Linked DNA regions of Mus musculus: region 2 is reported to be linked to region 1. The links are microRNA targets in miRTarBase. Many come from high-throughput screens and were not tested one by one. Region 1 holds a microRNA gene; the other region holds the end of a gene's coding sequence.
The links. The annotated mature microRNA mmu-miR-700-3p reads CACGCGGGAACCGAGUCCACC and lies in region 1 at 2,405-2,425, opposite strand. An mRNA with a match to its seed (bases 2 to 7 or 8) in the 3' UTR can be bound and repressed. Matches are read on the target gene's strand: a 7mer-m8 pairs with bases 2 to 8, a 7mer-A1 pairs with bases 2 to 7 and ends in A, and an 8mer does both.

Region 2: the mRNA of Nrp2 is a reported target of mmu-miR-700-3p. Seed matches in the 3' UTR shown: 7mer-m8 at 2,432-2,438.

The regions. Positions count from the first base shown.
Region 1 is chr4:135,414,157-135,419,535 of GRCm38, forward strand. Mir700 (microRNA 700) reads right to left here and starts at 2,477; the gene lies at 2,399-2,477. Rcan3 (regulator of calcineurin 3) reads right to left here. Exons shown (of 5, transcript NM_022980.4): 4 at 4,224-4,395; 5 at 1-2,442. The coding sequence ends at 2,264.
Region 2 is chr1:62,815,143-62,820,521 of GRCm38, forward strand. Nrp2 (neuropilin 2) reads left to right here. Exons shown (of 17, transcript NM_001077404.1): 17 at 191-3,550. The coding sequence ends at 495. Among named protein-coding and RNA genes, the nearest start is that of Gm35120, 19 kb to the right of the region's middle.

The DNA.
Region 1 (5,379 bases):
GTACTGTATAACGGGGAACACACAAACTCCCCAACTGTGAGAACACACTTGCTGGCAGCTAGGGTCTACCTTACAATCAAATGAAGTACACTGCCGAGCTCAGCACTGCAAAGCACTGTAAGCCAAGGATGAACTCTTGATCTACTGCATTCGCCTCCAAAGTCTCAGGATTACAGCAGCTGTGTGCCTGCATCCAGTCAACTGGGAAGACCCACTGAGGCCTGGCGTTTGAGACCAACCTGGGCCACACTGAGCTGTCACCTCAAAACCAAACTCACTTTATCTGACAGATGACTTGGATCTAAAAACCAATGCGGGTGGAATCGTAATCTGCAACTGAATCTGCACGGAGGGCTCCCAATGGCAAACGCAGAATTCAGCATTCCACAGGACCTGAAGGCAAGGGACACTCTCCTGTTCTTGTCAGGTATGGTGGCACACACCCTCAGTCCTAGCACTTATGAGACAGAGGCAGGAGGAGCAGTTCAGGGTCATCCTTGGGACACAGCAAGTTTGAGGTCAACCTGGACTACATGGGACCCGGTTTTAATGACAGACAATGCACCTGTGTGCGTGTGTTTGTGTGTGAGCTCATGCATGCACGCTCATGAAATCAATCCTACCACAAAAGGACTCAGCCCTAACATGTCACGCAAAGTACACGGCTCTCATGGCTTCATTTCTCTACGTTCTTTTCTTTGCAGTTGCAGCTATGTTCCTCTCTGTTCTATGCCCAGCCCCTTCACCTAGGCCAGCCAGCTCTGAATACTTGATGAGTGGAGCAGCTGATGTACCTGTAGCCCAGCACTCAAAGGCAGGAAAGTCTGCAAGGGACCAGTGATGCTGAGTGACCTATGGAGGCCCCAACAACACATCTTCAAGTGTAAGAAGCAATTCTACCTGAGGGCCAACTGCAAGCAAAGGTGGAAATGATTGTTAAAGGAGGAAGCATAGACTACAACAAGCCCATGCCTACAATCCAAACAAACAGAGCCTGAGGAAAGAGAGTGGTCTGGGCCTCAAGGCCAGCTTGGGCTACATAATGAGTGACAGGCTAGCATGAGCTACAGCGTGAAACCTTATCTCAAAATCAACCAACCAACCAACCAACCAACCAAACAAACAAACCCAACCACCCCCAAAAGAATGATTACTTTCCCTAATCCATGGGGGAAAGGACAGGTGATTTTTCTTTCTGAACAGCTGAAATACTTGAATGGAAAACTTTGAAATGTGTGGTGCTCACCCCTCTAATTCCAGCACTTGGGAAGCTGAGGCAGGAGGATCACAGAGGACTTGAGGCCCAGGAGCTACAAAGTGAAACCCTGTCTTTGAAGAAAACAAAAGCAAACTGGCTCTCCCTATTTAAAGCGGTCTTCACAAAGTCTTATCATTATCTTCTAAAGTTAAGACGACTAACGTCCTTGATTACACGCACAGCACAGGAAACCTCAAGCAGTAGCAGGCCGGCATTAGGAGGGTCAAGAGAGTAACTGAAGAGCTGCCCCACAGACTCCAACTCTGTAGTCCTCAGCCAAGCTTCCCGGTGACACATCCCACTGGCAAAGGGAGATTCCTCCAGCAGAGCCGAGGCTGGGAAGGGCTGAGCTGGGAGCAGAGTCCTGTACACCACTGTCACTGACTGCCAAGAGAGGCAGGACAGACGGACAGCCAGGAGAGCTAAGAGCACATCTGCCCACGATATCTGGATCTGACAATCTCAGTCATTTGGCCTTTCATCCTCAAAGCTAGTGAAAAAATACTTGTGAGAAATGACTTCTACAAATGATTTTGTATCTCGGGTTTCTTCTCATGCAACAACAAAAAAAAGGTCATGTCTACTGAACAACACTCAGCCTTTGCTCAATATATTTGTTAAGACACTGCCACACCTGTACAAAAATACCCACACCAAAGTACTGAAACCGTAAGACTAATTTTTAAATCTGTAAAAATGGCAGTGCACTGGGTGACTCTAGTTCTGGCCTGTGGTACCCAATGCTCTACAGGTTCAAGGGAACTAATATTTCTGGGGGAGGAGACAGGTGCCACATGGTCAGGGCTAACCTTGTCACTTAAAGTGCCATTGAGAATACTGTTCAGAATTTCAAACAGCTGGCCGAATCTGCTACTTCACCCCACGTTCTGGCCTGGGGAGGCTGGCCCAACTGCCTGACGGATGCAACAGCATCCCTGGGCTGTGCTCCTAGACAGGCGCAGCTGTAGTGGTGGGACAGGCAGGCGCGGCAGGCACCGCAGCCGCTCAGAGTGCACAGTCCAGCCGCTCACTCAGTGCCGCCGTGGGAGCCTCCGGGCGCCGCGTCTGCGTGATTTTCTGTTTTGGATTTTTTGTGTCTTCTTCCTCTTCAGTTTCGCTCTCACAGACGTGCACCACCACACTGGGGGTGGACTCGGTTCCCGCGTGCAGTTCGTATTTCTCCCCTGCAAGCACAGGAAGGAGCCTTACTCCCAGTGAAGGAAATCAAGTTCTTCTATCTCCCAACTTCCTCTTCTACTACGTCATTCAGTGGCTGATTTTTTTTTTTTTTTTTAAGACTGCGTCTCATGAAATCTGGGCCAGTTAGAAACTTGCTGCTGTAGCTGAGGCTGACCTTGAACTCTAATTCTTCTGCTTCCATCTCCCAAGTGCTGGCATTTAAAAAAAACAAAAACAAAAACAAAAACTCCCTGGAGTCGCACTATGTAGCCCAGGCTGGCCTAGGCTCACTGTGTAGACAGGCTGACCTGGAACTCCCAGGGAGCTGCCAGCCTCTGCCTCCCAAGTGCTGTTAAAGTTGAGTACCACCATGCCCTGCAGAAATTCTATTTGTAAAGACACTGTCGGGCTAATGCGATGGCTCAGTGAGTAAGAGCACTTGATGCTCTTCCGAAGAGTTCAAATCCCAGCAACCACATGGTGGCTCACAACTACCCGCAATGAGATCTGATGTCCTCTTCTGGTACGTCTGAAGTCAGCTACAGTGTACTTATATATAATAATAAATAAATCTTTGGGCTGGAGCAAGCAGGGACTAGCGAGCAGGGCCGACCAGAGCGAGGGGGGTTGATGGGAGCAAGCAAAGGTCCTAAAAATTCAATTCCCAACCACATGAAGGCTCACAGCCATCTGTACAGCTACAATGTACTCATATACATAAGTCTTAAAAAATAAATAAATAAAGACACCGTCCCTTCTGTCCTGAGCCCTAGGAGTTAAATCCAAGCACTTCAGGCACCTTCAAGGCAGACTCCTGTTAGCACACACCTTAAAACCATCCTTCTCTTATTTTCAAGTGAAACTTCATGGTGCAAGCGAACCCAAGCACACCCTGTCCACCATGTTCATCTCCATGATTTTCAACTGCGCGTGCTCAGGAGTGCACATGCCACTGTATGAATATACACAGCTTCCTTCACTCGGGGAGGGCTTGCTTTGCAAACAGCTCCTGTCTCTTCCTATCTCTTCTCTTCTTGTCTCTTCTGTTCTATGCTTACTCTGGCTTTGTGCTCAGGAAGAAGACGAGAACCCATTGATTAGATTACATAAATACTAATTAAAATGTTAACATAAATGCTAACTGCTGTTCTATAGATAACTAAGGTGGGATAGTTAAATTCACAGTGGTGTTGGGGCGCCATGGGAGGCACTGGCTAAGCTCTAGGCAGCGGTGTCTACGGTAGGGCCTCTGCCATCGAAGAGCTCAACCGCCCAGGAGCATAGAGTGCCTTCTCAAAAGCCTCTGAAGTGCCCTAGAAGAATCGGCTTCTTGCAGTATTAAAGATGAGTGAGACCGAGCAAGAAAAGAAGGAAGTAAGAAGTGAAAAGAGAGAGAGATAGAACTTTGGAAGGGTGATAGGTCATTGTCACTGTCACCCAAAGCAGCTGCCAAACGACAGACACTGTGCTGACTGGCTTGCAGAGAGAAAGCAGTGAGGATGTTCACTAACCGCCTATATTAACTTCTGGCTGAATGGCTAAAGTTATCACGCTGCAGACAGCGTTTAATCCTTAGAACACACTCAGATAACCCAGGCTAGGCAACTGGCTGAGGACCACAGCACTGGAAAGTGTACAGCTCGAGTGTGAACTCAGACTGGTGTGGCCACACCGCCCACTGGACGGTGCTGGTGTTGCTGGGCTCTGCACCCCATACTGCACACAGTCTCCAACACACAGAACAGCAATGTCCGAGGACTCGGAGAGCGAAGGTGGAATGCAGTACCTGGGCCCAGCTTGGAGACAGCGCAGAGCAGGTCATAGTTGATCACTGGCATCGCATCTTCACTCTGCTTCCACCCCACGGGGGGTGAGGCGGGAGGGGAGATGAGGAACTGCTTGGTGGGTTGTGGTGGCAGTAAGTAGGACTTGTCCCGGGCCTCCCCGGACACCTGCACCTGCAGGGAAAGGCGTGCTTGTGAGCAGCTGTCCTTTCTTTTCTTTTTCTGAGACAGGGTTTCTCCGTGTATCCCTGGCTGTCCTGGAACTCACTCTGTAGGCCTGACTCACAGATCTCACGGTCTCTGCCTCCAGTTCTTAGATTAAAGGCCTGCACCATCACCACAGGGCTTTCATTTCCAACTTTATGGTAATTGTTACTTTCTTGGAGGGGTGATTAAAACTGTCTCTCAAACTGTCTGTGACCTTCCAGGTGGTGGACTGGAAGTGGCCACAGGCCCTGGACCCTTGATAAACGTGCTACTCTGTGGTCTGGGCTCTAAGTGACCCTTGGGCTCTACATAGTAGATAGAGGCTTGCTCCCCTGAGAGGTCAAACTGGGAGCCTTCAGGAGGCAGGGAGGCCTTTAGTCATGGGGACATACCCTAAGGGACAGTGGAACCCCAACCCCTTACTCTTCCCCCTTCCCATGAACGAAGTGAAGAGCTTTGCTCTGCCCCTATGTGCTACTGCACAGCAGGCTCACAGGAAAAGTGCCAATCACATGCAGACTGAAACCTGCAAACCACAAGCCGAGACTTTTCTCCTTTACAGCTGACTCTCCCAGGTATTTGCTAGTGGTGTGAGTGGGTGTGCTGGCTACTATATGTCAACCTGATGCAAGCTTTAGTCATCAAGAGACAGGAACCCAACTGAGAAAATGTCTCCAGAAGACCTGACTGCAGGCAGGAAGTTTTCTTAGTGACCAATGTGGGGAAGGCCCTGCCCATTGTGAATGATACCAGCCTGGGTTGTGGTTCTAGGTTCTATAAGAAAGCAGGCTGAAGCCAGGCACAGTGGCACACGCCTTTAATCCCAGTACTCGGGAGGCAGAGGCAGGCGGATTTCTGAGTTCGAGGCCAGCCTGGTCTACAGAGTGAGTTTCAGGACAGCCAGGGCTATACAGAGAAACCCTGTCTCAAAAACCAAAAAACAAAACAAAA
Region 2 (5,379 bases), not on the chromosome of region 1:
TGCCATCTTCACTTTACAATGAAAAACTGGAGTCAGAGAAGGGCTTAGGTTACATGCTTCAAATGGCACAGCTAGGATATAGCAAGGTTCCCAAGTGCCTGCTGTTTACTGCTAAGCCCTAAAGTGACTTGGGTCTGGGGAGCCTCGGGTTTGTCTCCATGCCTACACTCTTGTGTATTTTGTGTCGTAGATGAATATGAAGGAGATTGGAGCAACTCTTCTTCCTCTACCTCAGGGGCTGGTGACCCCTCATCTGGCAAAGAAAAGAGCTGGCTGTACACCCTAGATCCCATTCTGATCACCATCATCGCCATGAGCTCGCTGGGGGTCCTGCTGGGGGCCACCTGTGCGGGCCTCCTCCTTTACTGCACCTGCTCCTATTCGGGTCTGAGTTCGAGGAGCTGCACCACACTGGAGAACTACAACTTTGAGCTCTACGATGGCCTCAAGCACAAGGTCAAGATCAATCATCAGAAGTGCTGCTCGGAGGCATGACCGATTGTGTCTGGATCGCTTCTGGCGTTTCATTCCAGTGAGAGGGGCTAGCGAAGATTACAGTTTTGTTTTGTTTTGTTTTGTTTTCCCTTTGGAAACTGAATGCCATAATCTGGATCAAAGTGTTCCAGAATACTGAAGGTATGGACAGGACAGACAGGCCAGTCTAGGGAGAAAGGGAGATGCAGCTGTGAAGGGGATCGTTGCCCACCAGGACTGTGGTGGCCAAGTGAATGCAGGAACCGGGCCCGTGTTCTCTGCAGGGACACAGACAGGAGCGCATCTCTTCGGAGTCACAGTTCTGTTTCCTTTGTGGGTTTGTTATGATTATGATTGCTATTGTTATATTTTATTTTATTTTTGTCTGTGAGCAACTCAAAGAGGCAGAAGAGGATGGCTTATCCGGGGCAGAAAGTGGAGAGGTCAGTCCTGTTCTCCACATCTCTTTCTAGTCAACACTTGAAAAGCAAAGGGGCTTTTCAGCCCTTCCATCCTGAGAAATGGAACCTAAGAAACAAAAGCCACCCAGCTTAGCTCACCCTCAGATGGTCTCCCAACTCAAGAGACTTGCTGGGGTGTGTTCGGGTTCTGCCAGCCAACCCTAGGAGCTGCCGTTTCCGGTCCTAGCATATTGAAGTAGGATGTTATTGCCTTTAGCTTTTTTTAATCCAGGGGAAGATTGCCATTTTAGGGTCAGCTTGAACAATTCTTTCTTATATAAGATTTAAAGTAAAACATAACAGAAACTTCATACACCAGAACCCATAGACACACCTCTATGGTTAGACACAGACAAGCCTTAAAATGCTTTGATGACTGGGTGCCATTCCTTAATCTAGACCCAGAGTTTGTGGCTGTGGGATGTCCCTTGTAGGGTCTCAGCTGGTGGCTTTGCCTTTTCTTTTCCCTCCTATTTGTTCTTCTACAGCGTATACATATATTCACATGCACACAGCATGCTCATATGCAGCTCATGTGCACACACACACACACATACTTGGGGGGGGGGGAGGAAGTGGGAGATTTTGCAGTCTCTATTCTTTAGTCTCAGAGCAGAGAGAAAGAATAACAAAGGAAGAGAGAGAAACGCAGCCTGTATTGGGAAGAATGACCAGTGTGGACAGAGACATTTTGTTGAATGAGTCTCCTTGATAGGTTAAGAACATTGATTTCTTGTGGGAGGCTACATCCTTATAGGGATATAAGTGCAAAGACATGCACTTCTACCTACAAGTCAGCAAGTTCTATGGATGGAGAAGCTTACACACAGCTTCAACCTCAGGAGACCTGAGTTCTTATTCATACACATATGTGCCATGTACGTACACACACACACACACACACACACACACACACACACACACACACAGCAGTTCATGTGTTTTTTATTAAGTGCCTTGAAAAACAATGAAGAAAAATGTCCTTTCCTCTAGGTAGAAATCACCACTGTCTCACAAGTTAAGGCTCCTCCTGCTTCTCCTGCCCCAGTGACTCCATTCCCAGCCCCCCTACCCACGGCTGAGCCACAGTGGACTGAGTCTGGCTACCCGGGGAAAAAAATCAGAGCCCTAGATGACTCCAGAAAGGGAGGCATCAGGAAGATAATGAAATTGTGTGAAGGATAAGATTGTCCTCATCAAGATCCAAATCTTGACTTTCTGTTAATGCCTAAAGATTGTCTGTGCCCTAGAAATACAGTCTAAGCCCCACCAGTATGTCCAGACTGTTGCATATCAGTGGTAAACTGTCTGACCGTTTTTTTTGCTGCTGTGATCACCCACAATTTCATTTGTCTTGCACCCAGGCAAAAGGGGGAGGGTGGACGGGACTGGCTGTGGTCCCTTTAAATGTTAACTTATGAAAACCCTAGTTCAGATGGTAATGTCGCAGTGTTTTGTATGAAGAGGGGGAACAGTCATGCCGACATCTATTTATTCCCGCGTGTGTGTGTGTGTGTGTGTGTGTGTGTGTGTGTGTGTGTGTGTGTGTGTGTGTTTGTGTGTGTGTGTGTGTGTGTGTGTGTGTGTGTGTGTGTCGCACCCTTGAGTTCTCTGTATCTACTGTGTATGTGAGTGGTAACGTGGGACTCAGTGCTGGTGTTGTGATTTTTGACCTAGAGCCTGGGTGTTACTGCTGATCTTGGCACTCGTTGGCACAGTGGTAGAGGTGAAAAGTTCATTTGTCTAGCCCAGGGGGGCATAGCGTTAGGAGCCCTCTGAGCTGGGCGTGCAGTAGAAGAAAGTTGGTATTTAGCTCACCCTCTTCTTCACCCTCCCATGCAGCTAGGATTCAGAAAGCTGGGGGTTTCTAAGGAGGAGAGAAGTGCCCACTCCGGGGGTCCTGCCCTCACATGCCCAGTGGACCATTTACCATAATCCACCCCCCCCCAAGACCAGCCCTGTCTAAAGTTATGTGCAACTCAACCTGCATTCCTCTACAAGTCCTGCATCCACTTCACTTTGGCTGATTTGAGGCTCTGGGTGAGTCCTGAGGGCCGAAAAGAAGCAGGGTCCCCGGGGCTACATGTAGATACCTCACCAAGGCTGGAGGCTGGTCTGTTGTAAGATGTAAAGAAAGACAGCTGAGTCTGATTCTAACTTAGCCAGAGGACACCTTGACGAATCTGTTATCTCTATCTGCAGGTAAGCTAGCCAGCCTGTCTCCTTGAATTGTTCCCTTTGGGAAATCTAATTCACAGTATTGATCTCCTTTTTTGCCTTGTACTGAATGACACATTACCTCCACGCTCTCCCGGACTAACTGGTCCACAGGGCCACAGGGTTGCTTGCTCTCTCTTGCAGGAATGGGGAGTCGACAGGGATGAGGGTCCAAGGAATGAGCATGAATGACAAGAAAACAAGGGGAACATTAAGCTTTTCCAGGGTGTGCGGTTAAAGGTATTTGACCATTCACTGGCTGAGCCAGATCACGGGAACTCGAGAGCTTTTACTGTGATTCTTCAATGTAAAAAATAAAACAATGTCAGACTGTGTTTATATGATTTGTATAAAGCCTTTTTAAGATTACTATTTAAATAAACATTATACCAGAACTATTTTTCCTACATTGTCTTTCTTGAGAACAAAGAGAGCCGGGACCTGAGTGACCAGATTGCCCCATGTGCTGGAGACTTTTCTGGGTTTTACCACTCAGAGTTTTGTGTCCTGGAAAATGCTCCAAGTTAGTCATCTTGGACAGCTATAACAGATACCGTATGTCAGGTGACTTAGACTCAACCATTTGATGCTTAGTGCTGGAGACTGAGATCAAGTTCAAGCAACTACTAGCACATTTAGAGTCTTTCTAATTTGTAGACATCTACCTTCCCTTCATGAACCATATGGCTTTTCCTTCCTGAGTTTCTTTGTCTGTTTCTTCTTCCAAGAGTATTAACCTCATCCTTGCAACCTAGTCTAAGCCTAACTACTATCTATGACCCCACAACCTCCTAATACCATCTCAGAGGAAGTTAGATTCTCAATATGTGAATTTGGAGAGCATACCAACACCCGTAATTGTGAATGAACTCACATGGTTGGTCATTCTTTTAGGACAATAGGACTTGACACTGGAGTTAGGAGGTTGTACAACTTGTTGGCATTTTATAAAATGAAGAAATTCTGAAGTCAACAATGGCTCATCCAGCCAAGTGAGACACCTAACTAACTGTAGGTCTCACCCAGTAGACTTCGGGAGCCTCGGTCCCTCCTCCTACCCCTCCTTCCTTGTCCCTGCCATCTCAGAGTCCTTGCTGCTCACTTCATCTCTGACTCAATTTTCAACCTCTCCGATGGCCTCAAGGCCTAGGAGAGATCTCCAGGCATGGCCCAGGGCCTGCAGCACTGGCATCAAGTGCCACTCACTTCAGATGCATACTTCTGGTCCTATCCTGGATCTAACGAATCAGAAGCTCTGGGAACGCCTAGGCGGTCTGTATTTCAGAATCCCACCAGGGAATCCTGTTGCTCTTTCTCTTTTAGGAACCACTGGTCTCTCATCTGGGTATTATTCTCTAATTCAATATATGAGTTCCAAATGTTTTCTTCCAGTCCATGAGTTGTGTTTTCATTTAGTTTTTATTTTTCAATTATTTCTTTTAATTTTGAAATTAAAGTTGCATCATTTCCCCCTTCCCTTTCCTCTATGCTCTCTTTGAAATTTATAGTCCCTTTTTATTAACTGTTGTTACATGCATATGTGTACATACATATATATTCCTAATATAACTGGCTCTGTCTGTATAATGTTACTTGCATGTATGTTTTTAGGGCTATTTGGTATTGGATAACCAATTGGCTTGCTCTTCCCTGAGGGAGACTATTTCTCCTGTTCTTAGCATCCCTTAGTAACCTGCAGTTCTCTGTGTAGGGTTTAGACTGTGTGGTCTTTCCACCAACCACACTAAGCATGTCTATTGATGTCCTGTACAGATCATTTTTAGGGAGTCATGTTGCTGAGACTCTATGAGTGTAGCTTCTGACATTTCTAGGAGATACAATCTCACAGCAAACTCTCTGACTCTCTGGCTCTTACAATCTTTCTGCCACGTCTTCCACAATATTCCCCGATCTTTACATACATGAGTGTTTTATAAATATGTCCCTGACTAAACTCCACAACTCTACATTTTGATTGGTTGTGGGTTTCTGTAATGGTCTCCATCAATTGCAAAAGGAAGTTTCTTTGATGAGGGGTTTATACTTCCCTGTGGATTGGGCGCCCTCTTCTGGCATCCTCAGGCACCTGCACACATGAGCACACAGAAACATCTCCACATACACATAAATAAATAATAAAGACAAACCTTTAAAGGGGGAATAAAATCCTGATGTTCAATTGAATAAATAAAAATACTCACACAATAGAATATGATTTGGCCAAAAG